3 linked regions of the Drosophila melanogaster genome follow. The main gene of each other region encodes a partner of the protein of the gene in region 3 in a complex. Each region holds a gene or a part of one and is shown on either strand. Other genes may lie near its edges.

Region 1 (9,924 bases), about 16 Mb from region 3:
ATTTGATATGAGCGCCTTTTGGTTACATTTTTAACGATTACTTCTGAAATTGGGCCACTACCTAATTTTCCCTTGTTCGGCAAATGGCTGACCATATAGATATGAATTTTTTATCGATATTCATGTTTCAATGTGGCTGATCGATAAGGAGTTTTTCAACATTTTATTCTTCGAAACTCTACCACACACATGCCTTGCAAAAACTTGGTAAGGGCAATATAATTTAATTATAAAAACATGTTGAATTTTAAAATTCCTTTGATATAGTTTATTTAAAATATTTTTTTATTTAAGAATCACCATGGGAATTTTCATTAATGAAGATTAATCAACAGAATATATACAAATTTACCTCACTGATTCCACATATACATATATATATATTTAATAAAAATCCAATCAAGCATTCTTAAAAGCATCACAAATTTTTAAGACATGGCATACCTGTTTTCCATTTTGCATTTGTTGTCGCGCACTTTGCAATGCGTTTTGAAGTCCTCGAAGAGCTTTAGACATTTGCGTTCCTGTTGGCAGACGGAAAGTGCATGGTTGCAAGTTGGTAGGGCATCAATGGGGTACGGATCCTTTTCGGCTGCATATGAAAAGTTAAACGTTGGTTAACAAAGTTACAATACTAACTAAATTTCCTTTAGACCTTTCTTCAGCACAAATCCGCATGGATGATCGAAGAGAAAGTCCCGAAAGTGATTGCAGTCCGGATCCATTCCGGGCTCCTTGCACAGGCAGGTGGGCCGAAAGAACTGGAAGGCCTGCAGGGTGCGCAGGGCAGCCTGACACTTGGTCACCGTCACCGTGCTGCAGGACACTGCAAATGGAAGAAAGGATATTCAGTTCTACATGGTGTCGCAAGTGAGTGGCAGTTGTATCCATTTCGGGATTGGGCGGATATGCTTAATGATCTATCAATGGCAGCAGTGCTTAAACTTTGACATTAAATGTCGTGCTGGTTCATTTTTGGTTGTGCACATCGATTACCAGCAATATGAATGGGTACACTTCAGAAATACAAGTTCCCAAAATTAAATAAAAATATAATTTAATTTATTTTTATATGTTGTTTAATCGTAACGTTGTTAGGGTTCTGAGTAGCGGGTATCGGATAGATGAGGAGCTGAACTACAACGCTTTCTCTTCGAATTAAATGCTATTTTTTTCAGTGCAGGTTTGGGCCATGACAGTTGTTATAAATGGCAGCGAGACAACTACAAACCAGACACATGTCATAATAAGGGCCGAGAGAGGTTACAACAACTGCTATATGAATAATTGAGTCTCCAAACAAAACGGTCGATTTAAGCGCCCAATGAAGCGATGCGCAGGGAGCGTGAACGGGATAATATTTTATAACATAATAAATTATGTGTAACACATAGACTGTACGGTGTGTGGGTCTGTGACAGCTTATTCGAGCATATGACAACCACTACTGCTCCAACTGCTGCGTCAAACAAAAGGCAAACATCTGTTGGCCATCTATTGTCCTTTTGGCCATAAAACATAAGCCCTACTAATAAACCCGGCTACGCCAACACTTCACAAACACGGCCAGCAGAGCCGGAGACGCACACACACTCATTGGGAACTGGGAAAGGGACTCGTTTGGCCTGTCGTCATAAGCCGTAAAATCGCCAAAAAGCAAAACAAGCAAACTGCCGGACAATGGGAGTCCGTCCGGCATAATGGGAAGCGAGTAGTGGTGGTAGTGGTGGCAGTGGTGGCCACCACGCCATGTGGTTCACGTCACTCAACTGACCCGAACCGAACCAAACTGAGGCCCCCTTTCGGTGACCCCTGTGATTGCCCCACGACCTATCCAATAACGCCCTTGTCCCATGCAGACCGGACATGATTATTTGCTAGTTGAACATAAAGTTGCTCCTGCAGAGGGAAGTTCGTTGGGGCTGGATGTTGGCCAGCACATACGCACACATCGAAACACTGACATCGACTGCGCAACAAGTGACATTTTTCTCAGGCATCCATCATTTTTATGCCCCTCGCTTTCGCACCGTTTCATTTTTTTCGTGTCGATGTCCTTTCTGGTTTTCGGATTTGGGGATTTTCGGGGTCCCTTGTGGTGTCAATTAAAACTCGTTCGTTGCGTATCAAAGGGAAGCGCAGCATGTTTACGCAATGGACAAGGAAATGGAGAATGCTGCTTTGAATGTAAAAAAAAAAATGCATGCACATATTTTATACGTACAGATACAAGACGAGCATGACTGACATATTTGTCTAAATAAACAGATACAATTTTTTCTTAAATTATGTATATACTTTATATTTCCGTTCTTTCTCTCCGTGTGGTAAGTGCATTTGAAGCGTGGCCGGCTAACTAGATGCCATTCGCTTGAGCCGCAGGTCCTGGCCATCGGTTTTCCTTGGTTAGTGGTACCTGGCTTTGGTTTCGTCATTGCATGCTGGGCGGCCATAAAAAATAAAGCCAAGGCGAGTGGTTTTTATGCTTCGTCGCCATCAAGCGACGCCATTTGCTGTTGTGTTCTTTCAACTTTTTTTTTTGAACTGACGCCGCCATTGCCCTTGCCTTTTACTGTTATTGTTAAGTCCTCAATTCGTTTTTATTCGAAACGCGTTTCCGGTTGTTGAGTTGGTCGCTGAATTGGTTCAATGATTTCTTTGTTTGTTTGTTTGTTGCTGGCACCTGACTGTGTATGCTCGCCAGTTTTTCCTGCCGTATTTTATTTGATTTTAGTTTGATATTTGTTCTTGCTGCCTTGGTCTGGCCATTGTTTTTATTATATTTCGGCTTTTTATGGCGTCTGTAGGTGAAATTTATGAGTCATTTATTAAGTTTAGCAGCCATTGAAGGGCATATAAATTATGATCGAGCATATTAATTACGAGTGAGTCAAGCAGGCACTTTGTGTTTGAACTATTTCGGCCGGAATGTCCTGTTTCCTGTTCCGAGAACACATGTGTGTGTCCTTTGTGTCCATGCTCATGTCCGTGGTGCTTGTTGGTTTTATTGAACCATCGACAAGTGCCACGGTGGCTCAAAGTGAGTGCAGCGTTTTAAAACGGAAGTGGAATGCCGAAAAGTATGCCATGCAAAGGCACGACTGCTGCGCTGCAACTTCCGCCGAAGGAAAAGCGAGCAAAAATATATTTATCGCCCAGCTGGGGCATCGAAGCTGCTTTTAAAGGCTTTTCCCGGTCGTGGCCGCGCATATGAGAGCTGGGTGAAAAACGGGAAAAGCGAGCGGGAAAACCTGCATGAAATGCAATTATCATAAATATTCAGACACTGTACGTTCACCGTTTGCCGGATCTCTTTAAGGCACATCCATATTTGGAGGACATTTAAAGGACAGCAGCGCGACAGCCATTAACCTGCACGGCCAACAAAAAGTAATTTCACTTTTAAATGAAAAAGTTCAAAGTGCGTTTGTTTATGCCAAACACACACTCTCGCACACAAATACAGAAAACCCACATGAGACGCTGGCCATAAAAACAAATGCCAAATGATTTTTGTTGCTGGTTTTCTGTATGCGATCCACTCCCCTATGACAAAAATTAGACGCTGGCCAGCAATTGTAATCGTAACTTTTTATTATGATACGTTAGCATTTGCAATCGAAATTGAATTGGAGTGGGACTCGGTTCAGAAAAAAGAAAAATATGCTTGAACAATTTGCGTGTTTTTTTCTATACGCAACGATTCTTTAACAATGTATGCTATTCCTGATATATGAACCGAATTTAAAATATGTTCTTATTTGAGCAATCAAAAGCAAACTTATATATATGCAGAAAGGATGTTGATTTAAGCCAGTATCTTGCATCGAAGTGAAGGAGTCAGCTACGAACATGTAAAGTATATATATTATTGATCAATGTTAAATGTTCTTCTATCCACAAAATAATCTCTCAGTGTTAAAGTTATCCGCATGAAACTTTCCCATTGCAAAAAGTATAAAAGTCGGTACGGACCATATAATACATAAATGATTGCTGAAGGAATATGCGGAGCACTAGAAAGTATAGAAAATAAATCATAATTTCTTAGTTCATAAAAGGTTTTAATTCGGTATACATTAGGTATTTTTCAATAAGCTTTCAGTCAATAATTCCCAGCACTCGAGCCTTGCTGAGAAAATCTGTGCGCTGCACATAGGAACCGGACATGGTACGACTTCCTGTGTATGCCTCTCGACCATGGAGCACTCTCCAGTTATCGAAAAGAACAATGCTGCCGGGACATAGCTTGAGAGCCCACTGCTGTTGCTTATCCCTGACGATTAGCAAAAGCTGGCGAAGACTGTCATAGAACTCGGCCATTTCGGCTTGAGGGATGGTATTAAACACGGCGCGATCATATACATTTAGTCTGAGTTGAACAAATTCCTGAGTCAGTGGATCCACCTGTATAATGGGGGCAGTGTGGTAGTGGTGCTCCCCTTTTTCGATGTACTCTCCAGGAACTTGGACACTGCACAGTACATCATAAGCGGCGGGATACCGGCGTTTCAGTTCGTGAACCACATGCAGACCATCAACAAAGAAATTTTCGCCACCCGATCCCGAGTGCTCAATGCAATGTAGAGCCTGTAGTCCGGCTGCATCGCAGAAATAGGTATTATCCGTATGGGAACCCAGGTAAAGTTTGGTATAAGCGGTGTCCGCGTGATCGGGGTTATCGCTAAAAGTCCACATTTCGCCAAAGAACGTTTTCATAAGGGGGAAAACTCGTCGCAGAGCCAATTCTGTCATATTCGCGGTGGGAGCCACATCATCGATAAAGACAATGCCATAACGCACCAGAGATTCAACCAGGGATCTGACTTCGTTATCACTGGAAACCAGCTGGGGCAATGGGAATCGTAAGTGCCGTTCGTTTTGCAAGATAATGCTACGATTCCATGGTGTCAGATTAGTGGACTTTGATCGCCGACCTATCAACCTCTCCAGCTGTGAGTCGAAGATAAAGTCCAGGTCATAGTTCGACTTGTGAGCATCACTCCCTAAAATGGCAGGCCAATAAAATCGAAGCTAGGTGCATTTTACATCAATTTTTTCTTACACTGCACTTGTAGATTCATCCCGTCGTATTTGACATCTAGTGGCATTATATCAGCTGGTAGATCTAAGACATCGTATCGCCTCTGATTTGTTTCGAAATTTAGACACTCCACACATCGACAATGATCACGGAGCCAAAACTCATTGATTTCTATTGATTGGCTGGTTTTCGGGTGCTTCAAAAGCAACATGTTAATGCCAATAGAACAACCGACGGACTAGAGCAGTGAAAGTGAACTAACAGCTCAAAGTTTGATTAAGTTTCAGCTCGGTTTTAATTGTACTGTTATCAGTAGGAGAGCGATTACTTTCATGCTCAAGTCAGAGATAAGAACTTATTTGTTTACGGAATAACTATAAGATTAATAAATTTATTGAATTTAAAGACAATATGTAATTATTAAGAACAACTCATGAAAGTAAAAAAATTTATAATTTAATCAAGATTGATTGAATGGTATGTTTTTGTTGCAAAGTTATCTTAGTGAATTGCTACTCAAGTTGTTGTATTTTTTATTAAAAAATCATTACTTTAAAGAAAATATAAATATTAATTTCAAATATCTTTTATTGAAAGGGATTTTTTCCCATCTCAACAGGCCAAGTAAAATTCAAATGGAAAAACTCTCTCTAAAACTAGAGATCTCTAAGTTTTTAATTCATTTTGTACCGGTTGTGTGGGAAATCATAAAAAATGAAGACTTTCGTTACTTCCTGGGCCGATGAGGTGGATGCGGACTATGTGGATGGACTGCCGCCTTCTAATGAGTACATTAAGGGCGACTTCAAGTACGTGACGGAGTATAAGTTCAACGATGATGGCAAGAAGGTGAAAGTGGTGCGAACCTTCAAGATCGAGAAGCAGATTGTTCCGAAGGCTGTGGCTCGTCGTCGCAACTGGGTTAAGTTTGGGGATTCGCGATCGGACAAGCCCGGACCCAATTCCCAGACGACAATGGCCTCCGAGGAGATCTTTATGCAATTCATCGGCTCCAAAGATTTCGACCAGACCCACGAAACCCAACTTGATCCCGGCAAGAACATCGCCAAGTGCCGCATTTGCAATGGCGAACACTGGAGTGTCAATTGTCCCTACAAGGGCACCTCGATGGATAGCAAAACCGTGATGGAAACCAAGGCCAATGCCGCTGCAGCTGCCGCTATAAGTGATCCCAGCAAGACCGGAAAATATGTACCACCCTTCATGAAGGACGGCGGAGGCATATCTGGCAGCAAAAATTGGGGACGGGGTCGGGATCGGGACGATTCGTCGGCAGTTCGCATCTCAAACCTATCCGAATCCATGACCGAGACTGATCTCGAGGAGCTGGTAAAGAAAATCGGACCACACACCAAGATGTATTTGGCGCGCGAAAAAAACAGCGGCCTCTGCAAGGGATTCGCCTACGTGCACTTCAAGTTCCGCCAGGATGCAGCTGCCGCCATTGAGGTTCTTAATGGCCACGGCTACGACCACTTGATCCTCTGCGTCGAGTGGTCCAAGCCTCAGCCGTAATGGCTATAGCCTTGTGTATTCGCTTCTCTGCTTATTCGAGAACGGAAATGAGCTGCGGTGGCAGTGAAATCAAAATAAAATTCTGGTACACCCTGCAAAATATGCGACCACTTTTATTTTTAATTTGCACACATTCGATAATTACAGAGAATATATTAATAATAATATAAAATCTATTTATTAATGTTTCGTAGTAGATTTTTTCATCTTTCAGTTGAGCAAAGGATATGAATTGAGATAGATATGAAAATTGTTAAAAACAGTCTGGTTCATTTGGGACCACTCAATTTTCGAGTTGATATACCCTTGGACATCCAAGGTGGATGCTTTTTTTAAGTGCATAAAAGAGAAAGCTCGCCTTGAGCGAACTAAAGCCGATAATGCTCCGTTTTAAATGCGATTTTTTCGCCGTGCTCCGCAGCCGTACAAAGGTGAAAGCCACTTAAATGGAAGCCAACGTGGTGCCGGATGATGATGGCACGGCGTTCCCGGCAAGAGCTGAGAAATGCCACAAGACGCTGGCCGGACCGAATGAACATTAATAATTAAATATAAGAGCGGACTTATGCGCACGATACTTGGAGCGGAGCCCCTCAGAACGGGACGCCAACTACGCGACCATGACGTTGAACCGGGAATGAGTGGTCGGTGGATAGTGTTCGCGGGAAAGTCCCGGCTTAGATACACATTTTGAATGAGGGGCGGATCAAAGCCAGGCACAAAAGAAATTTATTTCCATTGTTGTTGCTGTTGCGGTGGTATGGGATGGGTAGCAGCTAAAGCAGAGTCTAAAACAAATTACTGAATAATTTATAAATTAACTTTTTCTGCGGCGCGCTCATTCGTTCGTCCCCGGCCTTTGTTTGAGCGGCAGAATGAATAGGTGGAAGGCGAATGAATGGGTGGCCAGGTGGGCGGCTTGACAGGTTAGTTAGCATTGTGGGGGGGGGGGGGGGTAGTTGGGGGTATGAGGCGCCCTGGTAAGGAGAACGCCCTCGGCCACGCATTTCTTTTTCAGTTTGCACCTTCAGGTCATGTGCGCTCACCGCACGCACACTCACTCACTCTTCCAGAGAAAAACAAACAGAAGATTAAAAGTCAAATGTTAAATAAGAAATACCCAGTAGTTGGAGTTAAAGTGGTATTTAAAGTAAGCAAACTCATTCCAATAACGGATATTTACAAACTTTTTTAAAAGAATCCATGTTCCTATTCAACTTTTTAATTTTTAAGTTTTACCTGTCGTAACTTCTAACAAAACACATTTGAATAGAGGCTAAATAATGTATAAAATTTAGCATAAATAATTTTAATTAGAATAAGAATTAAATAATCCAGAAAGCTATCCCATTAAGTATACGCACACAGCACATTATGTATTTTGAAATATTCTTCATACGCCCTGTGCACTACAGTGCAGTTCACCCCATCTCCCCCATTGTACAGGGTACCGCAGAAACAGGCCATCGACTCGACGGCGTTGAAACTCTCGGGGGCATTTGAATATTCAAATATGCCATTTGCTGGCGTTTCGTGGCCGATCTCCTTCGCGGTCTCTGTTGCGCTTTAAGTGTAGACTGTTATTTACTGTTTTATTGCACGCGCGCCTGCTCACGAAACCCTCAAAAATGGCTGAAATAATTACACAGTTGTCGAACCAGCCACAACAACAAAGCCCCCAAGCAAATAAAAACGATGAAAGAATATAATATATTCAACCGACTCGCACTGGCAGCGGAAATTAATTCTCAAATGACCAAAACTTGTGCATAATCAGCGTTGAGCGCCGCAGGTGAAAGCTCGAGAGCTCTGCAAACACTTGACACAAAAACCCATAGATTTTGTGTAAACATTTCATCAGGGCGTGGTAAAATTATCGATTTGATTTCAATATGTTTGGCTGGATGACTTTATGGCTTGTTTGTTTATTTACCTGGAATGGGTCCGCAGACGCGAGGTATTATTTCCAAAATGGCCGAACATGAGGGATCCTCGAAGCATAGCTGACGTGCTAGGATACAGTTCAGAATGGCCACGACGCCCTTAATGGTGGAACCTGAAATTCGAAAAAAGGGAGCATATTAAAAAGAGTTTCTATTAAATTTAATGTTCAGAAAAGGTAGATATTGTCCAATTTTGTCAAAAATAGTACTAAATATAGATTTTACGCATAGAAATGATATCGCATTTATATTTCTACGATAGTATGGAAATCTGCATTACATCCCCAAAGTTGGACTTAGAACTCTTTCTTAATATGGTTAGGCCCACGTATCAGCTGAGAATGACTCTTAACGATCTGATTAACAAGTAAGTTCTCCAAGCTTGTTGGCTTTATTTCTGCTCATTATTCTTCGGAGGGACATTGTGGTCACCATACTAATTGAATCCGATACATTGTTGGCGTACGAGTCCCGCAGAATGTTTAATAACCGAATTCCAACTGAAAGCCGCAGCAGCAGCAGCAAAATGCAACATGCAACACGCAACAAGGGGCAGCAAGACTCGTGCGGTGACAACATTAAGCCAAATTTAATTAAATCTCCGGACTCTGTTTTTCGCCATCTTTTTATAGGAAGGATTTCGATACGTATTTTTTTTATGTCGCACAATTGTATGCAAATGTAATGTGTAAAGTCCCTCAAATATTTTGTTTCCGTCGTATTTGTCTTTATGCGCGTAATTACGAATTGCTCATAAATATTTATTCCGAAGTTTTAATTATGTTAATTCATGGTGAACTGTTTAAAGCATTTACAATGATTTTCATTGAAAAATCCGACAAGAATGAGGTGAATAAAATGCAGGGCGGCAAAAAATCGCAATTATGTTTATATGCAGCTCTTAGTTTTTATCATAATTTTATGTTCTGCTAGAGTGAGATAGCGAGATAGAGGTAGAGTGGGAAAACAGTTCGTTTATAAAACATTCATTTCAATTTCATTTCATTACGTAAAATAAACCAAGTCATCCGGACAGCAGCGACTGGGAACACAGGCTGCTGTCTATCTAAGCAGTCGGCTTTATGGCCACTGCCTACCGGTCATGGTCCTTCCGCCAGCTGCTTCTCCTGCTCCTCGCACTGCTTCTCTAAACCCACTTCATCCGCCGGATGCCCCGTAAAAGTTGTAGTTCGCTGCTGCTTCTGAATTTTTCTTTTTCACCCCTGAACCACCAGCCCCACGCTCATTAACGAAATGACCGTTTGCATATTGTACGTCGGGTTGGGGAGGGAAGACCCGGCGGAGGAGGTAGATTCCGGAGCCGGAATAACAAAAGAAGTGCCTTCAAAAATTCACGAATTGCATGCGGACGCAGCTGAACTTACTCGGCGGAGGAGCAAC
Region 2 (9,916 bases), on a different chromosome or scaffold from region 3:
AGTTTCAGAGGAAACGAAAAACCCATTCCGGCACCCCGCAATTTTCAGCCGTCGAATGCCTTTGGCCATCGACAGCCTCCACCGGTCCCTCCACGACATCCCATGAGGAGACCTCCACAATATTTAGGCCAGCCATTCCCGGCGCCAAGGCAACACGTGTCTAACTTCGGTAATGCACCGTTCATTCCACCCCGACAAAACTATCAACAGCAATGGCAACAATACAATGCCCCACCCCGTCCCTTTGCGACCAAACCACAACCAAGACCAGAACCAATGGACGTGGACGGCAGTGTACAGACGCGAAACATTAATTATATGAATAGACCACACTCGGACATAAACAAACGACAAAAGAACTACAACATCCAAACAGTGAACATGAGACAGCCAAGTATTGAAGTAACTGGGTCCAGTTCAAGCATGACAGGCTATCAACGGTCGATGCAAGATTATGAAACCCAGAACAATATAAACGGCACACTAAATGAATACTGTGATGGACAAATAGACAATTTGGACAGCGAACAACGAGACCACGTGTTGCATTTTTTAGAGTAGAAGACTCCTCACTACCATACTTCGAATGTAGAGTGGGGAGTGGAAAGGTTTTAAGGGTGTTGATTGACACAGGCTCTAATAAAAATTACATCCAGCCCAATTTGGTGACGAACGCGATACCAAATAACAAGCCTTACATAGCTGATACTCCAGGCGGTGATGTAAAAATATCGCATTACAAAAGAGCAAGCCTTTTCGATTTCGAAATAAAATTTTTTTTGTTACCAACGCTGAAGACTTTTGACGCCATACTTGGCAAAGACACAATGAAGGGAATGGGAGCGCAAATTGATTTGAAGAACCTAACCATGACACTGGAAAACGGGAAAAGAGTTGTTCTCAAAGAAAAACAGTTCGAGGCTGTTAGCACAATTAGTCCGAGAATAAAACACTTAGAGGTGGAACAGAGAATGATATTGAATAAAATAATTGATTCGTATCCAGGTCTCTTCGCAGACCCGAATCAAAAACTAACCTACACAACAAGTGTAAGGGCAGCAATCCGAACTATATCGGATACGCCAATATACTCAAAATTCTATCAGTACCCAATGTCTCTTAAAGACGAGGTACACAAACAAATTTCCGAACTTTTACACGATGGAATCATTCGACCCTCAAGGTCACCTTACAATTCACCAGTGTGGATTGTACCAAAAAAACTCGACTCCTCTGGCAAGAAAAAATACAGGGTGGTAATTGACTATCGAAAACTTAACATGGTAACGGTAGCGGACAGATACCCTATCCCTGACATTAATGAAGTGTTGGCCCAATTGGGAGACAACAAGATTTTCTCAGTGCTCGATCTGAAAAGTGGGTTTCATCAGATTCTTTTAAAGGAATCTGATATCGAAAAGACCGCCTTCTCCATCAATAATGGAAAATATGAGTTTACACGACTCCCATTCGGTCTGAAAAATGCACCGTCAATTTTCCAGCGCGCACTGGACGATATTCTTCACGAACATATCGGTAAGATATGTTTCATTTATATTGACGACATCATCATCTTTAGTAAAGATGATGAAACACATTACCAGAACCTTGACACTATTTTCAGAACTCTTCAGCAAGCCAACATGAAATGTCAGTTGGATAAATGCGAGTTCATGAAGAGAAAAGTGGAGTTCCTAGGCTTCGTCGTGTCCGACAAGGGCATTGAAACCAGCCCAACCAAGGTACAGGCAATCTCAGACTTTCCAATTCCAAGGACACTCAAAGAACTGAGATCATTCTTGGGATTATCCGGATATTACAGGCGATTTATTCCTAACTACGCTAAGTTAGCAAAACCACTTAGCTCGCTTTTGAGAGGGGAGGATGGTCGAATTTCCAGGACATTATCGTCAAAAAAATCCGTCTCCCTTAATCGCGAAGCAATAGAAGCCTTCAAGAAATTGAAGAGCAGCTTGGTTTCTCCAGACGTAATACTCCACTACCCGGACTTTAAGAAAGAATTTCACCTAACAACGGATGCTTCCAATTTCGCAGTAGGTGCTGTTCTTTCACAAGAGAACAGACCCATCTCATTTTTATCGAGAACACTCTCGAAGGCGGAAGAAAATTATGCCACGAATGAGAAGGAAATGTTAGCCATTATCTGGGCTCTAAAAAAGCTAAAAATTTACCTTTACGGTAAAGCAAAGGTGAAAATCTTTACTGACCATCAGCCTTTGACCCATTCTCTCAGTAGTTGGAATGGAAATGCGAGGATTAAGAGATGGAAAGCATACCTTGAGGAATATGACTACGAAATTTTCTACAAGCCAGGCAGAGAAAATACTGTAGCCGACGCTCTGTCCAGAGGACCGACAGTCGAACAAATTAACACAGTAGCCTCAACAATGCACAGCTCTGACAGTTCGAGCCATGGGCTGATACCTAGCGTTGAAGCCCCGATAAACGCATTCAAGAATCAAATTTTCTTCAGGGAGTCCGAGTCAGAGAACTACTCATTTAGCATTCCATTCCCGACATTTCAAAGGCATTTAGTAGATCGCAACTTGTTCACACCCGATAGTCTCTTGTCAGATTTGAAAGAATATCTTAACCCATCCGTGATTAATGGAATTTTCACATCCGAGGATGTAATGGGGAAAATTCAAATTCTCTACCCCATCCATTTTCAGGGTTTCAAGATTAGATTCTGCCAAAGCAAAGTCAAAGACCTTGTTAACGAAGCCGAACAAGAGGAAGAAATACTTAGGACACATAACAGAGCACACAGAAATGCTGTGGAAAATAAAGCTCAGTTGTCCGAAAGAGTATACTTTCCTAAAATGAGGAAAAAAGTTTCGGCTATCGTGAATCAGTGTTTGGTGTGTAAGACTGCTAAATATGACAGACATCCCACGCATCCAGAAATAAGACAAACTCCCTTGCCAGAATACCCCGGACAAATTATTCATATTGACATCTACTCGACAGAACGACATCTGGTGCTCACGGCGATTGATAAATTTTCCAAACTGGCCATGGGAAGAGTTATCAAATCCAAAGCTGTAGAAGACATTAGGAAAGCCCTAAGAGATATCGTGTTTTATTATGGAGTGCCTAAATTAATAGTAATGGACAATGAAAAGTCCCTCAACTCAGCCTCTATCAAATTCATGTTGACAGACCAGCTGGGTATTGAGCTCTACAAAGCACCTCCGTATAAGAGTACAGTAAATGGACAGATAGAAAGATTTCACTCCACACTCTCTGAAATAATGAGATGTTTGAAAGGAGATGGAACACATAGGGGCTTCGAGGAACTTCTCGATAGGGCCATCTATGAATATAACTACACTGTCCATTCTGTCACAAAAAAACGACCTCTAGAGGTGTTCTTCGGCAGGATAGCTACCGTAGCTCCAGAAAAATATGAACAAGCTAGACTGGACAATATAGACCGACTTAGGCAAAAACAGGAAACCGACATAGAATACCACAACCGGACAAGAAAGCCCATAAAAACCTATATCAAAGGGCAAGAAATTTTCGTTAGGGTTAATACAAGATTAGGTTCTAAGTTATCAAGTAGATTTAGGAAGGAACTAGTTAAGGAAGACCGAAGTACCACAATATTAACAGAATCAGGGAAATTAGTACATAAAAGTAACATAAGATCATGATTGCTTCAGAATAATTACTGTGGCCACATCGATAGACAAGTAGAACATAGAAACATTAAACATACTGATTAACGTAACCACGAGAATTAAATTTGAAACGATTCGACTTTGACAGACGAGTTGGCCATAGGTTTGCAGAATTAGATTGGGCTCGTGAAAGAAGAGATTGCGTTGTGAATGCGTTTCTGCGGAGCGAGTTTAAATTGAATGAGACCAGTAGCCTACTTGAAAACAATATACCGATTTCTGCCTTGACGGTCAAATAAATGTTAAAACTTTCACACGTTCTCGCTTTACACAACGGAACTACAATTTGAATGCCATTGAAATCTCCATATTGAATCAGTTAATTCCTTATTTCTTATATTTTAAAACATGATCAGTAAAGGAAACTAATAATAATAAATAAATAATAATTTAATTTGAATAATAATAAAATTTACCAATTAAAGACGAAATGTACGGAATCAATGCCTTCTGCAAAGGTTCCAATGGTCTAAAAATATGTAGATATAAATTCATTAGTAATTTAGTAAAAACCAGAATTTTAATAGAAGCAATCAAGTTGTCAATGCAGAACACATCCGAGTTGCACAAACCTCGAACGCACGCAACAATAAACACCTGGCATTCAAACCATTAATGCTGTGCCCAAACTACCACGAATCACCCCACCAACGATGCGACTCAAAAACATCCCATCCTTATGATGACCGCTCGAGGACAAGCGTCAATTAAGAGGGGAGGAGTTATTGCCCTGCAATTGATTCTCTAACATCTTGTGGTTCCACATAGTCTCCGCTGCCATCAACGCCAACGAACGGTTAAGCGCGACATCGACACTTCTGCGCTGCGCCGCGGCCGACGCCTGCTGCGCCGCTGCCGACGACTTCACTTGATTGCTAGGGACTTAGGGAAACATTTTGTACGCTAGATTTAGTTTCAAATGATAAATTGCAATAAACGGTCGCTTGCGATCTTCAAAATCAAATCGATAACTTATTAACTTATATGTAACGAAATTTCAAATGGTATATTCCAAAAAGTGCAAAGTGGTATTAGCGGTATATTTTTTGGACACACACGGCATATTTTTGTGACCGCGGCAGGGTAACACTCTTTTGTTGCTGATTAAAAATCCGCTTAACTCGTGGCGAAATTTGCATTTACGATTTCGCATACAAATCGCGTTGAAAATCAGAGTGAGTGCACCCCAAGCAAGCGCCCAGTGTAGCCCCACTCACTGCGCCCTCAATTCCTTTCAGATGCCGGGCGTTGAAACGATCAAATCCTCCTGGGCGGACGAGGTGGAGCTCGACTATGGTGGACTACCTCCGACGACGGAGACGGTGGAGAACGGACAGAAGTACGTGACGGAGTACAAGTACAACAAGGACGACAAGAAGACGAAGGTGGTGCGCACGTACAAGATATCCAAGCAGGTGGTGCCCAAGACGGTGGCCAAGCGACGCACCTGGACGAAGTTCGGCGACTCGAAGAACGACAAGCCCGGCCCCAACTCGCAGACGACCATGGTGTCCGAGGAGATCATCATGCAGTTCCTCAACTCCAAGGAGGACGAGAAGGCCAACGATCCGCTGCTAGATCCCACCAAGAATATTGCCAAGTGCCGTATCTGCAACGGTGAGCATTGGTCGGTCAACTGCCCGTACAAGGGCACGGCGATGGACACGAATATGATGGAGAAGAAGGCTTCGGCAGCCGCCGCGGCCGCCGTCGATGCGCCCAAGTCCGGCAAGTATGTGCCGCCGTTCCTCAAGGACAGCCAAAAGGGCGCGCTGGGAATGCGCGGACGCGACGACACGGCCGCCATTAGGATATCGAATCTGTCGGAGTCGATGACCGAGGCGGATCTCGAGGAGCTGGTGAAGAAGATTGGACCGCAGAGCAAGATGTATCTCGCCCGCGACAAGAACACCGGACTCTGCAAGGGATTCGCCTACGTGCACTTCAAGCAGCGCAAGGATGCGGCCGCCGCCATCGAGATCCTCAATGGACACGGCTACGACCACTTGATCCTCAGCGTCGAATGGTCGAAACCCCAGAACAATTAGTTAGTCCCGTTCCCACTACCCGCGTTTACTGCTCATAGGAGTCCGTTCGAGTCGATCACACAATTTGTCCCTATGCTATGCTAAGTTTGCTACAAATAAATCTTAAAACAGCCCCCATGGGCACCGAAAACCAGATGACTATGCTCTGCAAGGATACAATGGCATCTAGAATCGTATATTTTTCATATTTGATATAACTTAATCGCTCTTCTTTAGTTTTGCGGACCAACCAACACAAATGCTTTCGACTTTTGCTCTAATATAGCTTTCTCCCTCGTTTTAAAGGACGCAAGGCCACCAAATCGTAGACACTGGGAACAACATATAAAAGAAATATTTTTTATTTGTTACTTAAAAAACTTGAATATGATTTGTTAAGTGTATTTTTTAACGACATGCAGCTACCCACATATGGTTAACAAGTTAACCTTACGCGGTGCCCACTGTAGAAAGCATGATTCCAGCCGATCTGGCAACGCCATCGTTTGCATGCGAATAAACACCATGGTGTTGTTGTTTTTGTGTTTGCCAGCGATTTGCGTAAATTGTGTTTGTTTTTGTGGCCAAAAATAGAAATCAGATGCCGCAAAATATTCAAAAAGCATTCGAAACAATATTTTTGATCTTCAGGTGTGCGCTCATTTTCAGTCGTCAGTGAGACGGGCCCCCAGGCGAAAGTCTTTGTTGTTGCTCCGTTCGAGCGAAATGGCCACCGCCACCGTTGGTTCATCCAGATCCGCAACCACATCCGCAACCGCATCCGCATGCTCATCCAAATCCAAGAACCTAAAGAATCCGGCGCCGCAAATAAAAAGGGGACAGCGGATCCTCACGGAGAAACCATTCGCCTTCGTCTTGAAATCACAGTACCGCCTGGAGCGGTGCGATAACTGCCTGGAGGCGTAAGTTTCGCCATGTGGCTGCCTTTGTGAGCTATCTAATTTGGGTTCGTCGTTGCAGGACCAAGGTGCTGAAGTGCTCCAACTGCAGGTATGTGTCCTACTGCCACCGCTCATGCCAGATGCAAGCTTGGGGCCAGCACAAGCACGAGTGTCCTTTCCTCAAGAAGGTGCATCCTCGAGTTGTGCCCGATGCTGCCCGAATGCTCTGCCGACTGATCCTGCGCCTGGAGCACGGCGGAGACCTGATCCGCGGCTATTACACCGAGCACGGCTCCCGCAAGTTTCGCGATCTCATGTCCCGTGAGTAAACCAAAGGGCGAACCGCTTTGCATGGTCATTCCTAGCTAATCCACGTTAACGTGCACAGATTACGCCGAAATCAAGAACGATCCCATGCGACTGGAGCACTTGGACTCGCTGCATGCCGTCCTCACCGATATGATGGCCGAGAGTCCCAGCACGGTGCCAAACAAGACGGAACTGATGAGCATCTATGGTCGCGTAAGTGTGCAGGCACCTGTGCGAGCGAGCAGGAGCGGATTGGGCGATTCATCGCACTGGTACTGAATCGAGAAACCAAGACGCTTGCGTATGCAGCCGCTCCTGGTCGCCCAAATTAGATAGCAATCAATGATGTATGCCTGGCGCTCTGCCAGTCAATTGATTATCTAGGAAGGGCTTCGGTTCACATTCCCCGGCGCACAGTTACGCGGGAGCTCATGCTCTTTCTTCTCTGCTCTTTGCAGCTGATCACCAATGGCTTCAATATCTTGGACGCCGAGATGAACTCAATTGCCACGGCCATATATCTGGGCGTCTCGATTACGGACCATAGCTGCCAGCCAAATGCGGTCGCCACCTTCGAGGGCAACGAGCTGCACGTCCACGCGATCGAGGACATGGAATGCCTGGACTGGTCGAAAATCTTCATCAGCTACATCGACCTGCTCAATACGCCGGAGCAGAGGCGTCTGGACCTCAAGGAGCACTACTACTTCCTATGCGTGTGCAGCAAGTGCACGGATGCCAAGGAATCGAAGGAGATGCTGGCTGCCCTGTGTCCCAATCGCAACTGCGGTGCGGGAATCAGTGTGGACCGCAATAATTGCCCGCGATGCGATGCCGGCATCAGTCCCAAGTTGAGAAATGCCTTCAACGAGGCGATGACTCTGACCCGGCACAATCTGGAGAACATGAAGGACGTGGCCTGTGAGTAGATGCGACGAAATGGAATTAGCTCCATAATAAGCACATTTTCACTCTCTCGATCACAGATCTCGATGTGTGCAAGGTGTGTCTGGACAAGCAGACTGGCGTGTTCCATCCCCTGAATGTGTGGTACGTCAAGACGCTCGATGCGGCCTTCGAAGCAGCCATCGAAGTGGGCAAGTGGAGCGACGCCCTGGATTACGGGCAACGTTTGCTGCCAGGCTTTCGAAAATACCACGGACCCTGGAATCCGCTATTGGGCCTGCTTCACATGAAGCTGGGCAAGATTCAGCTCTACGAGGGCCATTCCAAGGAGGCACTGCACCATCTGGAGGAGGCCCAACGCATCCTAACCGTCACCCACGGCCGAGATCACAGACTGCTTACTGAGCAGCTATACATGCTCGTTCTACAAGCGCGACAAGAGGCGCACTAATGGGATTTAGTTGTTTTTATTCATTTAAATAAGTCTTAAGTTAAATATTGTGTTGCGTTGCGGGAAGAATGGAATGGATTTTTGTGGATAATTACTTTTCTATGTACAACAGAAACCATTCGGAGAATTAAAGATTATCAAATTCTATTACTTTTGGCATTTGTGGTAAACAATTCAAGGAATTAAAGTAAGGACACATTGATGGTGATCATCAAATTTAGACTCCGTTTACCACCTCAAATGTGATGTCTATCCGCCGTTCAACATTCCTCGCTCGCAAAAAAGGCGCACGCGCCCTATACAATCTGCGTAATGGCCTTGGCCCGCCAATCCGTATCCTGGAACAACGCCCTGATTAGGTGCTTTATCTCATCCGACTTGTAGCTGGCGGTCAGCGGGCCGACGCCGTCGCCCCACAGCTCTGTGATCTCCATGAGCGACGCGTTCAGCATGGCCTTCAGTTGCTGCAGCTTAAGCCAAGAGAGCACCTGGACCACCTCGTTTGGTTCGCGGAAAAGCGTGGGCGCCCGCTGGAGCACCACGTCAATGAGATCGCTCAGCTCACAGGCCATCTGTGCGGAAATGTCGCGCAGCGTGAACACTCGACGGATTAGCTCGGCGACAAATGTGTTGATTAGCTCGCAGAAGGTTGCATTGTACACGGTCTCCGGGAGCACATTGGCCCACACGTTCTTCAGCAGCTCCAGCTGGCGAAGGCACTGACGCACCAGCTTCAGTGGACCAGAGCCCAGCGTGTGCGTGCTCTCGAACTCGAACTCCTGCATGATGCCCATCAGGATGGAGGATTGGTAGTCGACCTGCACGCGGAAATGCTGCTGACCGGTGGCCTGCAGTGTCTTGGCCAGCGCCGCCAAGCTTTCGATGCCCTTGTTCGCATGCTGCGCTACCCAGTGTGTGAAGAACATACAATTGTTGTGGAACAGGACGGCCTGCTGTGGAATGCTCTCGAGCAGCTTGCGGTGCACCTTGGGCACCTCATTGATGTAGGTGTGCAGCATGATGGAAATGACGCCGGCTATGGGATCGGCCTCTTGGTCGCCCAGTTTATCCGTGGGCTGGCGAAGAATGCGGTCCATTAGTTTGACAAAGTCCTGCCGGCGAAAATGAATCCATTAGTGCGTAATCAATCGTTTCGTTTAGCGAACGACTTACCTGAGCACTTTTCGAGATCATGCAGCGTGGGAAGAGGAAGGGATCGTTTGCCACTTCGGCTGAGTGGTTGTTGGGCGCCACCAGCACCATGTCCTGCAGATCGCGCTGGATGATCTCCCGCGCCGTTTCCAGAACTCGACGATACATCCGATTGCGGTAGTAGGTCTCGTACTTCTCTACAAACTGCCCTAGGGCTCGATCTTGCTCGGGATTGATGATGAATGAGTCTACAAGCAGCTGCTCCAGCTGGGCGACATCCTCACACAGCGTGGATGTCTGATACTCCTCCGTGCTTTCGGGCACAGCTGGTATCAGGCACTCGTCCACCAGTAATTTCAGCATTTTATCCTTCACATGATCGCCAATAATGCCAAAAACATGTTGGTCCCTGGACACACTGCAGTTGATCCCGGCCAGCGTGTGCAGCAGCAGCCTGAGGTT
Region 3 (12,918 bases):
GGCTATCGAAGTCTCGAGAACGACGTCCATCTCGTTGGCCTCGCCATCAAATTGAATGTAGCTTCCACCAGTCAAATTGGGCGACCAGTTGTTTACAAGGTTGTTAATGAGAAGGTTAGCACTGCTCGACGAGTGATTGACTTGGGACACTGTTGGGGCCTGAGTCTGCGTCTGTTGGGGCTGTCGATGCTGGGCGTCTTGCTGCTGTGCATGTGGTAAAGTCAAAGGATTTGTGGCAAACAGTTCATACAGTGGAGTCGGCTGCGAAGGTGTCGGCGGAGCGGCCTGGTGTTGGTGCTGCAGCTGATGGTGATTAATCGAGGCCATGTTGATATGCGTGAAGAGTGGGGTGCCGGCTTCGCTGACCTGGTTGTCCGGGCAGTGGTACACTTTGAGAAAGTTGCCGGGTCCCACAGGCAGCACGGAGTAGGTCTCTGGCTGGCCTGGCTGACCGGAGTAGGACAGATTGAAGAGATACTCATTGTACATGTGGGGCTGCTGCTGCTGAAGATGGGGCGCAAATGGGGGGCCGGCTAGGTGCGGTGGTGGAGGTGGCCACATCAGCGGGACAGGTGCTTGTCCATGCTGCTGCTGGTGGATCAGATAGTTTTGGGTTTGATGTTGATGCTGCTGCTGTTGCTGTTGCTGCTGTTGGTGGGCCAGGTAGTTGCCCACTTCGTCAGTGTGGGGCAGGACGCGAAAGGGTGCAGACTCAGTGCTGCCCCCTCCAATCTCGTCGTCCTGACGAGTCGCCATGTCCTGCGATGGGGCCTATGCTTTTTGCGCACCAGCTCCGCTCGCCTATTGGAATTTCAAGCGTGCTCCATGTATTCACCGCAGCGAGTCTGTCACGGATGTGCTGCAATCGCAGGTGACAGGTAGTTGGTTTTCTGTGGCCCTAGCCCACTTTTTCACTCCAAACTCTAAATAATTCGCAGAGCGTCCGTGTGTAAGAGTTTTATATCTTTTTATTGCAAACGTCAAATGTAGTGTTGCCAGATGGGTGGAATTCCATTTTCCTAACTGCCCTCGACCAACCCTGGTAGTAACCTATCGAAAGATTTCCCTCCAACGTATTTTCCGAATTGTTGTTAAACTGTTGGATTATTAATCGAAGTTTCCTCAAATAAAAAAACAAATTTCGCCAACTTTTCCATTGCCACCAATCAGCCGTTTTTGAAGATACATATATTGATGAACCCGCTGATCGTGCAGCCCTGGTTAATATTTGTTGTTTTAAACGTTGCAGTCAAATGATTTTTAAACAATTAAAAAAATGCCTTTTGTCCGACCGCTGGTGACCGTGGTGCGGGCCGGGCGGCATAGCTATTCAGCAGGATTACAGCTACAGCAACGTCTTGCAAGGTCCAACCAGATCCTGAATCCGCCAGCGGAGTTCCGAAACTACCTGGTGCTTCAGGAGCACGACCCGGTCTACACAGTCGGACTAAGGACAAAGGACTATACGGCGCAGGATGAAGACCGACTCCGCCGGCTAGGAGCAGACTTCCATCGCACAGATCGCGGTGGCTTGATCACATTTCACGGCCCCGGCCAGTTGGTGGCCTATCCCATTCTGCACCTGGGTCAGTTCGTGCCGAGCATCCGCTGGTACGTGGCGACGTTGGAGCGGATGGTTGTCGAGGCCTGCCACCAGATGGGCATTTCCAGTGCCAAGGCGACCAAGGACACCGGTATCTGGGTGGGTGACAACAAGATCTGTGCCATCGGTATCCACGGCTCGCGTTACGTCACCACGCATGGAATCGGCCTCAATTGCTGCACGGATCTGCAGTGGTTTGAGCACATTGTGCCCTGCGGAATCGAAGGCAAGGGGGTCACCTCGCTCAGCAAAGAGCTGGACAGACATTTTCCTGTCGAGGAGGCCAGTGGCGCACTCCTCAATAGTTTCGCTAAAGTTTTCGAATGCCGCCTTCAGGAACACGCCAAAAAACCAGCAAGTTCTGCTGAAATCGGATAATATGGTTATTTGGATACATATGATGTATAAAGGACCGCCAAGTTTATTTCAACATTTATAATTTAAATTATGCATCAATACATATTTCCTGGCCTTCTGTTATCTCAACTTTTACGAAATGGAAATTTGTAAACTAGATTTATGTATTTCATAAAATATTAAAATAACATTATAACTATATACATATATAGACTCATTGTCAATCGTATTTATCTATTTTTTTTTTTGTCCAAATCTGAATCAAAATCTTCGAAATGTATGCCATACAAGAAAACTCAGCGACACACAGCCAACAAAAAATTTGGCCCGAATCGAAGTTATATCTTACTATAAATTACACTTCAATGGAGATCACATAAATCGAGCTTTATTCAGGTCACACTTTTTGGAGCGCCCATCCGTAGGAATCTTTCCCCGTGCATTCATCTCCACACGAGCCTGTTCCCGCAGCTCTGCCTTCCGCATTCGACGCTCTTTGCGTGACTCCAGAGCATTATTAAAGTACCGATCCCTGAAGTCCTGCGAGGGCGTTGGCACCTGTTTTATGCTGCACAATAAGGGTTCTGTTGGACTATACTCGAAACACTTTTCATAGGTGAGTAGCCGCCTAGCTGTATTCCCAGTCAATTGCTGCTCAGAGTTAGCTATCAGGCTCAGATGCTGATGCTGTGGCAGCATCTTCGGGTCGTAGTCCTCGCTGTGAAAGGGTATCCAGCAGACAAGACGTCCTCCCAGTTTTAGGTGCCTCGCAGAGAACTCGAGAAGATCCCCATAGAGACTCTGCAAGGAATAGTGCGACGTTGATGGGTAATGCACCATGCTGTCACTTCTAGTGTTGGCCTTTACGCTAGCCTTTTTCTCCACCTTTTCCGTGGCCTCTCTTATTCCATAGGGAGCTTAAATTACCAAAGAATGAACATTTTAAGTTTGGTATAAAAAAGAATAAACCTACGATCTGTTATTATGCAGTCGAACGAGATGCGGGAATGCCACACCGGGTTGGAGAAATCGGCCACCACCACATCCATGTAGCGATCAGCGCAGCCGTACTGCTTCAAGTTGGCCCGAATGCTCTCGTCCTTCTCCCGCACTTTTTGGGTTATCCGGCTCGGCCGGCAGCGGGCGTGCACCATCATGTAGTCTATGTCCGCTCCCAGGACATACCCGCCCCACTTGGCGGCGCTTACCAAAAGCGAGCCCGTTCCCACAAACGGATCAAATACCAGATCCCCATTGCGTACCATCGCTTGGTTGGCCATTAGCAGGCTCAGCTGGGCGTCCATGCTGGTGTTACCGATAAACTTACGATGCTTCAGCGAAAGCTCCTTGATCAAATGCCGCTGACCATGGGCCATCAGCCGACCAAACAGAATGTCCTCCGGCTCAGGTGGCACAGCCGTTGGATCCAAGCCCCAAAACTCGATGTACCACCACTCCACCACGGGTTTCTCCAGATTGACCGTTCCCTCTATTGGCAGGTAATCCATGGACTCGATTTTCTCAACCTTTTCCCTCTGGCTGAAGTGCTTGTTGTAGGTCTCCACAACGATCTTAAAACTGGCATCCACCCGAAAGTATTCCGCAAGCGAATGCCAGTTCGCGGTAACATGATTCCGTAGCCTCTGGTGAAACTCGGGTAATTTGTTGGAGTGGGCGTAGAGCTCGAACATGGCGCGCAACGAAACGGACCTGGATGCATATAGCAACGCAGTATCCGTGTCCCGAAATTCGACCAACCAAAATGGTTTCTGTAATACCGAAATTAAAAAATATAAATATAACTATATATGCTGATGCTTCTATACTACAGAAGTATTTATATATGTGTCGCAAGCTCTAAAAATAATGTAATCAAAGTATCCTACACTAAAAACATCTAACAGGTACGCGGATCGTATTCGTAATGTATGTATACCAGGTATCAGGTATCCTTTCGAAACCTTTTAGGTTTTGTAGTTCCTGAGATCTCAACGATCGTATATAATTTATAGCTAGTAATGCTAAATTTCTACCTGTTGAAAACACTTTTGAAAATATAGTTTACTATTTTCTTCCTCTTACAAATACATATAAAATTTTTTTACGTTAAAAATATTAAACATATTAATAAAATTCCAAGTTTGGATATAACATTAAACCACAGGTTTTAAAAGTTATAGGGGAGGTGGAATTTGTTAATCTTGCGTTTTCAAAATTCTGGTACTAAAACACTTTACCCTGGTGTGTTCTGTAAGCCGCCGGACCTGAAGTCCAAACATTTTGACCAGCGAATCAAACTCCTGCACGCGAAAGTCGACATGCTCCTGGGCGAACCACAAGATAAACTTCCTCCAGTTGACCATGTCGCTATTTTAATTAATGAATTGTTTATTTATATTCTAGAGCGACTTCATTACTCCTCGTGTTATTGCTGTGAGCTAGCGGAGTTGCACTGCGATTAGCTGACCATCGGCAACTATCGGCCTGAACTATCGATAACGCAGCCAGGTGTAGCCCTGCGTGCCGTCGACTCGGCCATTTTGCATTAATATTGCAGCCACACGTAGGCGAGCCGAAGATTTATACAATTTTCAGCAGCCCCAGGTCTCAAAACGCTCCAGACCTGCTATCAAAATCAACTTGAAGTGCCGCCGCAAGTAAGTAAAGCGATCGGAAATGGCCCGCTATACGCAACGTCCGGAAAACGCCCTAAAAAGGGCTAATGGTGAGTGCTGAAAATTTTCCATGCGGTGTCTGAAGAGAAACTTTCGTCTTCGCGAATCGTGTGCTCTCTTAACTCGACGCCGCTCTCTTCGTCACAGAGTTCATTGAAGTGGGAAAGCCGCTTAGGGCGCTGGACACGCTGCAGGAAGTTTTCCGGAACAAGCGATGGAACTATGCCTACTCGGAGACGGTCATCGAACCGCTCATGTTCAAGTACCTGTACCTCTGCGTGGAACTCAAGAAGTCGCACATCGCCAAGGAGGGACTATTCCAGTACCGGAACATGTTCCAGCTGGTGAACGTGAACTCTCTGGAAAATGTAATCCGCGGCTACCTGAAAATGGCCGAAGAGCACACAGAGGCTGCCCAAGCCCAGTCCTCGGCGGCCGTTGCTGTTCTGGAGCTGGATGACCTGGACAACATTGCCACGCCAGAGAGCATCCTAATGAGCGCAGTGTGTGGCGAGGACGCACAGGACCGCTCCGACCGCACTATTCTGCTCCCGTGGGTCAAGTTCCTGTGGGAGTCCTACTGCCAGTGTCTAGAGCTGCTGCGCGTAAACACGCATTGCGAGGCGCTGTACCACGATATCGCTCGCATGGCCTTCCAGTTCTGCCTTAAGTACAACCGCAAGAGCGAGTTTCGCCGCTTGTGCGACAAGCTGCGCAAACACTTGGAGGACATTTGCAAGAGCAGCAACCAGACCACCGGTGTCTCGATCAACAAGGTGGAAACGCAGCAGCTCTGCTTGGACACCAGGTTGTACCTTCTTGACTCGGCCATCCAGATGGAGCTGTGGCAAGAGGCCTACAAGGCAATCGAGGATATCCATGGCCTGATGGCTCTGTCCAAGAAGACACCCGTGCCCAAAACCATGGCCAACTACTACCAAAAATTAGCCATGGTCTTTAGCAAGGCCGGCAACCAGTTGTTCCACGCTGCAGCGCTGCTGAAGCTCTTCCAGCTGACGCGCGAGCTGAAGAAGAACCTGACGAAGGACGACTTGCAGCGTATGGCTGCCCACGTTCTCCTGGCCACTCTTTCTATTCCGTTGCCTTCGGCCCATCCAGAGTTCGACAGGTTTATTGAGGCGGACAAGAGCCCCCTGGAGAAGGCGCAGAAGTTGGCCGTGCTTTTGGGCCTGCCCCAGCCACCTACTCGCGTCTCCCTTATTCGTGAAGTGGTAAGTATCACGCAATATAGTAATGACTTATGACTAATTCATAAACACAGGTGCGCTTGAATGTTCCTCAACTCGTATCTGAGGACTTTCGCAATCTATACAACTGGTTGGAGGTGGATTTCAACCCACTGAATCTGTGCAAGCGCATTCAGTCTATCGTGGACTTCATTGAGAACGGGCCCGAAAACGCTCTGCTCACTCCTTACATTCAATCGCTGAAGGACGTGACTATAATGCGTCTGATTCGTCAGATCTCTCAGGTTTATGAGAGTATTAAGTTCCAGCGTCTCTTGCAGCTGGCCAGTTTTTGCAACATTTTTGAATTGGAAAAACTGCTGGTCGAGTCCGTGCGTCACAATGACATGCAGATTCGTATTGACCACCAGAAGAACAGTATCTATTTCGGCACTGATCTGACCGAGAGTCAACGCGAGTACCGCCCCGACGGACCCGCTTTGCAATCGATGCCCTCGGAACAGATCCGCTCTCAGTTGGTTAATATGTCTACTGTTCTGACACGGGCAGTTTCAATCGTCTACCCGAACCGTGAACGTGACCAGCGGGCCAAGCTCCGCAACCAGATGGTAAACCATTACCATGAGATCAAGGATCGCGAGCACCAGCGTATTCTTCAGCGACAGAAGATCATCGAGGACAGAAAGGAGTACATCGAGAAGCAGAATAATGCTCGTGAAGAGGAAGAGGCGCGGCGTCAGGAGGAGGAATCGCGGAAGGCCAAACTGGCCGAACAGAAGCGCCTCGAGCAGGAGCAAGAAGAAAGAGAGCGCAAGCGCCATCAGAACGAAATCCAAGCCATCCGGGAGAAGAGTCTCAAGGAGAAGGTTCAGCAAATCTCGCAGACGGCTCATGGTAAGAAGATGCTTTCCAAGCTGGATGAGGAAGGCATTAAGAAGTTGGACGCCGAGCAGATCGCCAAGCGGGAAAGCGAGGAACTTCAGCGCGAGGCCAAGGAACTGCAGTCGAAACTCAAATCGCAAGAGAAGAAAATCGACTACTTCGAACGCGCCAAGCGCCTGGAGGAGATACCGCTTTTCGAAAAATACTTGGCCGAAAAGCAGGTTAAGGACAAGGAGTTCTGGGAAGCAACCGAGAAGACACGCATCGAGAATGCCATTGCCGAACGGAAGGATGCCGTCGCCCAGCAGGAGCGTCTCAAGCGCATGTATCCGGACCGGGATGAATTCCTTGAGGCCCTTAAAAAAGAACGTGCCTCCCTCTACGTCGAAAAGCTCAAAAAGTTTGAGGCTGCTCTGGAGGCAGAGCGCAAAAAGCGCTTAGCCGACCGCATTATTCGACGCCGCGAGGAGCGCCGACAGGCCTTCCTTCGCGAGAAAGAGGAGGAGCGTCTTCGCAAGGAGGAAGAGATTCGCTTGGCACAGGCTGCCGAAGAGCGCGCCGCAGCAGAAGCCCGCCGTTTGGAGCGTGAGGCTGAGGACGAAAAGCGTCGTGCCCAATACGAAAAGCAGCGTGCCAAGGAGGAGGAAGCTGAGCGTAAAATCAAGGAAGATCGAGACCGCCTGTCCAGGGAGTTGGCCTCGGAGCGCGAACGCACTGAAAAGGACCGTGACACATGGCGTCCTCGAGGCGGTGACCGTCCAAGCGCATCTAACGGCGGATCCAGCGAGTGGCGTCGTGCTGCACCTGCGGCCAGTGAACGCAACGACCGTGGTGGCGAGCGTATCGAGCGCGGAGGAGAACGGATCGAGCGCGGTGGAGAACGCCTCGAGCGTGGTGGAGAGCGCATTGAACGAGGCGGTGACCGTGACCGCAAGGACAACGAGGGAGCGGACTCCTCTTGGCGTGTGCGACGAGAGCCAGATTCACAGCGTGCAGCTGCTCCCAAAGACAGTGGCGCTCCGCAATCGCGCGATGACAAGTGGCGGCGTGGCGGAGAACGTGACCGCGATTTCCGCATTGATGGGGCTCGTCGCGACAGGGATGATGGGCCTCGGCGTGACCGTGACGATGGTCCTCGCCGGGATCGTGACGATGAGCGCGGTGGATTCCGCCGCGCCGACGGGGCGCGTCGTACCGACGAGCCTCAGCGGGAAACTGGAGGGAACTGGCGCGACGCTCCACGCCACGCTGATCGGGAAACCCGTCGCCCAGCTGAGAGGCGCGACCGAGATGTGCGCGAGACTCGTGGCGATCAACGCGGCTCTGCTCCTAAGGAGGCAGCCAGTGGCGGAGTAGGCGGAAACTGGCGTACTGCTCCTGCGACCCGTGAGGAAAAACCAGCAGCTAAGCGCGATCAAGCCCAGGAAAAGGGTAAGTAATCTCAGCAGCAAACCTAATTTCCATTCTTATCAATGCGTTACATCTTTCAGAGAACAAAGCTGGCGATGATGGCGAGTGGACCAGCGTTAAGCGTCGTTAATTTTTATTTTCATCATCGTATATACCCAGCATAATATTCTTAATAAGTTTTTATTTCATCCGACTTGTACTTTATTGGTGTAGAGCTCAGTCGGCCGGTATATTATATCTATCTATCCAAAGCTTGTGCCAGATAGTTAAAATTGAGATGGTTGTAGGACCGATACTAATTAAAGTACTTTCGAATAAAATAACTATGTTCTAAAAAATTGAAAAGTGAAATTGTCGAATGAGAACCTTGGGAATCAAAGAAATGAAAAGTGGTTATTATTGGTTTAATTCAAAAATTCTAATTCTTATTTATCAGATTTCAGGATGAACCAAGCTTCCCTTATACGTACAGTGATTTATAAACCAGTCCCTTTAAATTTATATTTCGACAGAGCTAAAACTACATTAAAATGTAGTTTGCAAACTAAACAAATGCGGGTTCTTCTATAGTTTTACAAAGTTCGTTCTTGGAAGCGTGGCTTTTTAACATTAGGTTTTTTAATTGCCCATAAATAAAAAATGCATTCAAAAGTATTGTAAATTGTATTATCACATACGCTTGACTTATTTTAAAAAAGTGACATCTTTCTTAGGTAAAACCATATTCGTTGGGAATAAATTCGAGTAAATTTAGAAAAGCTTTTATAGCAAGCAAAACAAAAATATTCTGCCTCTGAAAATTTGCCTCGATAATATGAGCCCGCGCCTTCTTCGCACACTCAACTAGTATTTTCTTGCGAACTTGGCACTAATGCCATGGCCTCGCGGATCCTCCGCGGTGCGCGCCCCTGGTCACACTGTCTGTGCCGCTGCCGCGAATCTCGGTCCACGTGAACAAATTTTGGACAATGTGCTATACGGTACTCATGAGATAAAGTGATTGCGGGTTGCTTTGGAGTGCAGTGACGTTGGCCCATCTTAAACCGCGGGTGATCGTGATCTTCGGGCGGAACAGAAAGACGCAGTTTGACTGCCGCAAGAAAAAGCCCTTTTGGGCACCGGACTTGTGTGCTTGTGTTAGTGCTGCAGACGCGGCGCTCAACATGTGAGGTTAAAGCAGACGGCGGCAAAAATCCGAACGAACAAGCGTTCGGCTGGGGAAGCCCTTTTTCGAGTGAAATAGGTGATCCGGAACCACAACGGAAGCTCAGAAGGTAATATTGCTAGGCGCGTGCCACAGATTGGACATCGCGAATGCGATAGCGAATCCGCTGAGCTTTGGGGAGAAAGGCTTTCGAAACCAAAGTGCCAAGGTGATAGGCAAGACCTGCGAAACGTATTCATTCAACTCGATTGCTTTTCGCCAAGGAGTGCAGTATCAAAAGCACATGGCGTGGCGGCATTTACACGCACACGCGCCCATCGTGGCTCACATACACATACACGTGGTTGGGGCAAACATGTGCTGTTGCTGCTACTGCTGCTTCTTCTTTCCGCCATCGTCGTTGTGTGGGCATGTTTGTTATTGTTGTCGTTGGCTAAAACTATTGTGTTTTGTGTTCCAGGTCCATGTGTAGGTGATGCAGAGGCGCTGAAGATTGATTAAAATCATTTACACCCGTCAATCGTATAGTAGAGGGTATGTGACTGCTTCAATTTTCGAAATGTTAATTTTACCATTTAGGAAATCTTGGTATCTAGTGTCAAAAAACACCTTTCGTGCAGGCTTTCAATATTGCGGCCACAGTATTTACATCAATATATTGTAGATGGAACTTAAATTTAAAACTATTCAACTAAACTATAATAGTTTTAAGCAACAACTATCAGGAAAATATAAACATAATTTTGAATATATCGACAACCTTTCCCAGCCCAAAGAAAAAATCTTTGTAATGCAAAACATGAAGTTAAATTGTGCAATTCATGACATAGTTTTAGAGAAATCTTGTTTAAATGATTAAGTTAAGTCATTTATGACACGTGTTAAGGCTTTCTAAAGCTACATTTTTATTCCGGTTTCGGTATTTATTTACATTGTAATTTAATTTTAATGTCAATGCCTATGTTTAATTTTTACCCTGATGATGTGTCTCTGGCGGAGCTCGACGTTGTGCAAGTGTTGCATGCTTGTTATGCATTTTGTTGAGGATTCTTTTGCGGTCCATAGTCAGCTTAGCGAGTTGTTCCTCCACCTTATCCATCATTTCGGTTTGCAGATGTATACATGATTGGACACTAACGCCTCTGATCGCAAGTTGGCCGATGTGAAAAGACAACTGAGCATTGGTACCAGTTAGGACAAAGAAGCCTGTTATGCCAAAAATCCTAATAGGCGGTTTGGGATTTCTAGCTAGCTCAGAAGGCTTGAAGCATTTGACTTTAACTTCATTCTCCAGGTTATTGAAAACTGGTCGTGGCAACAGCAAATCTGCACCGTGATCAGGTTCCTTTTCCATCGGAATTGGGGATTTTGAACAGAGTAGGTTTCGTGTCGGCAGGACAGAGTGGAAGTGCGACTTAATTTGTTCGCAAAATTTGGACATCAATGGCACGCTGGAGTTTGGAGTTTTATTGGCCCCTTTATTGGTGTTCCTTGGAACCAGTGCAATAAATTTATTGTCCTTATCATATCCGGATGAAGTGGTATTTTGGAATTGTTCCGCGTCAAAAGCCTTCTTTTTTATTTCCGACAAGAAGGTTTTCTTGTGACTAGTTAATCGAATTTTTTGCAGAGCATCACACAGCTGAATTTTCTTTTCGGATTCGTGGATTGACTGTTCCAAAGACGGAGTTTTTTCCTTCTCATTCTTTCCATCTAAAGTCGTCTGGGACATACCTATATCTTTTTTCTTTGAGTATGTTTCCTTTGAGCTAGTTGAATTAGTCGAACGAGAGATTGGGGGAATCGGTATAACTTCTATTATCCTGGGCCAATTCTTCTGACTTGCTTCCTTTGTGGCCCTTAGCCGGGACTCTGCAGCTTTGCGTTGACGCCTTGTGATCACTTTTTTTGGCATTTCGTTTTTTTTTTTTATTATTATTTGGTTAACGGGAAGTGATTTTGTAAACTTGATTTTTCAATATGTTACAATCATATGACGATTGTGGATTGATATCGAAAAGGCAACTATGATTGGTTTCGTTTTTAGGAGTTCCCTATTTAATCCGAGTTTATTTGTTTACAGTTACTTAACTTTTGACGCAAAATGGATTCACGAATGCTAAATGTGTTCCAAGGAGATACCTTTGAGGCAAATTATACCAAATACGAGTCTGAGCCGATATTCTGGTCATCTAATGATGAGTGAGTGATTGTCATCAGAAAAATGTACTAAAAACTAATGCAAACCCTTTCAGACTGCAACTGACAGATACACTGAGCGGCATCCTACCCATCGCGCCCACAGACGAATCACTGCTCAACCATAACCGGGAGGAAGATCTGCAAAACAGAAAGAATCTGGTAGGTTTTGGCTCGAGGGGCATACGAGCGAATCACATTTCAGTATTAATTCGATTAACTCTTTAAATAGCTGATTTACAACGACTTTCTGAAACAGGAGCTCAGCAACCATGATGCCAATGAGCTAAATGCCCAGGTCTATCGGTCCATCGCCGACAGCGGGGGCGAGATTGCCTATGAGCAGCAGCGCCAGATCAGCGCCATTGTGGAGTACGACAAAGAAGATATTAAAATCGACGGCCTTACGGAGGAGGAGGACATACAAAGCCAGTCCACATTTCGCACCCGCACAGACAGCTCTTCGATTGGTGACTATGAATCGCACTCTAGCGACTATGATGATGAATTTGACATTGTCAACGAAGAAAAAAGTCCAAGGCTGCAGGTTGTCCATAACAATATCGGCAACTTGCAGAGCTCCTGTGAGCGCAAGGGACGGACGCTCAGTACTAACACTATTATCTCCGAAGTAGACGCATTGGGGCTAAGTATTGATGTTAATAACTTTGACCTAGCTGATTTTATTACCAAAGACGATTTTGCTGAGAATTTAAACGCCTGTCGCAAAAAGGAATCTCTGCAAGCACAGGCGCAAATTAAATCTAATACTTTAGCAGATGTTCCCATACTTCTTAATCCACCGGTTGCCACAATTGTGGCAAAACCCGGGGTCCCATCCTCTAAACCTGGCGATTCTGATTATGACTCTGACTCGATTATCGACGTTGAAACTGTCGATGTACTCGATATGAATATGGCCAATATCTGGTCAATAGATAAGCCGGCAAAAATGGGCCAAACTCCCGATGAATTACGCTATGTGGACAATGTAAAGGCCGATCCCTCTTGGAGTCCGAGATCCGCAAAAAAGACCACACCTACTATCAAAGAGGTAAGTCCTATGACGACATACTAGTTAAGAAATTCTTTATAACAGTAACTGTCATACTCAAAACAGAATAAGCCGGAACAACTGGGGAACCATCAGCTCGCGGTCCCAGCATCAAACAAACCGAAGCATAAGAATATTTGCCTGGTGCCTAATAAAAAACAGTGCGATTTTCTTAAACGTAAGGTTGGTAGTCCCTCCTTGTCCAAGCTAACTAAGGCGACAACAAAAAAAGCGACTGAGTCTATGAGCAACAAGCAGCCGTCAGTAAAAAATACTCAATGCACGGGTCTCGGATTGGGTGGAAAAAACCTTTCGCTTCTGAAGCAGGAGAGGGACGCCGCATTATCGGTGTGTGCTGCAAAACC

The links.
Region 1: eIF3a (region 3) and eIF3g2 share a complex: the UniProt entries of both Drosophila melanogaster proteins name them as parts of the eukaryotic translation initiation factor 3 (eIF-3) complex.
Region 2: eIF3a (region 3) and eIF3g1 share a complex: the UniProt entries of both Drosophila melanogaster proteins name them as parts of the eukaryotic translation initiation factor 3 (eIF-3) complex.

What each region holds. Positions count from the first base shown.
Region 1 is NT_033777.3:20,402,569-20,412,492, forward strand, and holds eIF3g2 (eukaryotic translation initiation factor 3 subunit g2), read left to right. Parts: upstream 1-5,696; 5' UTR 5,697-5,758; coding exon 5,759-6,580; 3' UTR 6,581-6,675; downstream 6,676-9,924. Other genes in the region: Gfrl (glial cell line-derived neurotrophic family receptor-like), read right to left, coding at 445-592, 656-826, 8,514-8,636; Tmlh (trimethyllysine hydroxylase), read right to left, coding at 4,102-5,006, 5,066-5,255. UniProt on the Drosophila melanogaster protein: RNA-binding component of the eukaryotic translation initiation factor 3 (eIF-3) complex, which is involved in protein synthesis of a specialized repertoire of mRNAs and, together with other initiation factors, stimulates binding of mRNA and methionyl-tRNAi to the 40S ribosome.
Region 2 is NC_004354.4:2,605,212-2,615,127, reverse strand, and holds eIF3g1 (eukaryotic translation initiation factor 3 subunit g1), read left to right. Parts: upstream 1-4,791; 5' UTR 4,792-4,882; intron 4,883-4,945; coding exon 4,946-5,755; 3' UTR 5,756-5,881; downstream 5,882-9,916. Other genes in the region: Smyd3 (SET and MYND domain containing, class 3), read left to right, coding at 6,461-6,657, 6,716-6,957, 7,025-7,158, 7,404-7,866, 7,932-8,302; Zw10 (Zeste-white 10), read right to left, coding at 8,599-9,414, 9,476-9,916. UniProt on the Drosophila melanogaster protein: RNA-binding component of the eukaryotic translation initiation factor 3 (eIF-3) complex, which is involved in protein synthesis of a specialized repertoire of mRNAs and, together with other initiation factors, stimulates binding of mRNA and methionyl-tRNAi to the 40S ribosome.
Region 3 is NT_033777.3:4,425,466-4,438,383, reverse strand, and holds eIF3a (eukaryotic translation initiation factor 3 subunit a), read left to right. Parts: upstream 1-4,488; 5' UTR 4,489-4,636; coding exon 4,637-4,685; intron 4,686-4,782; coding exon 4,783-5,867; intron 5,868-5,917; coding exon 5,918-8,156; intron 8,157-8,215; coding exon 8,216-8,265; 3' UTR 8,266-8,586; downstream 8,587-12,918. Other genes in the region: CG14650 (uncharacterized protein), read right to left, coding at 1-756; Lipt2 (Lipoyl(octanoyl) transferase 2), read left to right, coding at 1,277-1,981; CG1074 (uncharacterized protein), read right to left, coding at 2,333-2,877, 2,934-3,729, 4,198-4,323; CG31525 (uncharacterized protein), read right to left, coding at 10,265-11,215; srl (spargel), read left to right, coding at 11,405-11,502, 11,556-11,661, 11,732-12,553, 12,620-12,918. UniProt on the Drosophila melanogaster protein: RNA-binding component of the eukaryotic translation initiation factor 3 (eIF-3) complex, which is involved in protein synthesis of a specialized repertoire of mRNAs and, together with other initiation factors, stimulates binding of mRNA and methionyl-tRNAi to the 40S ribosome.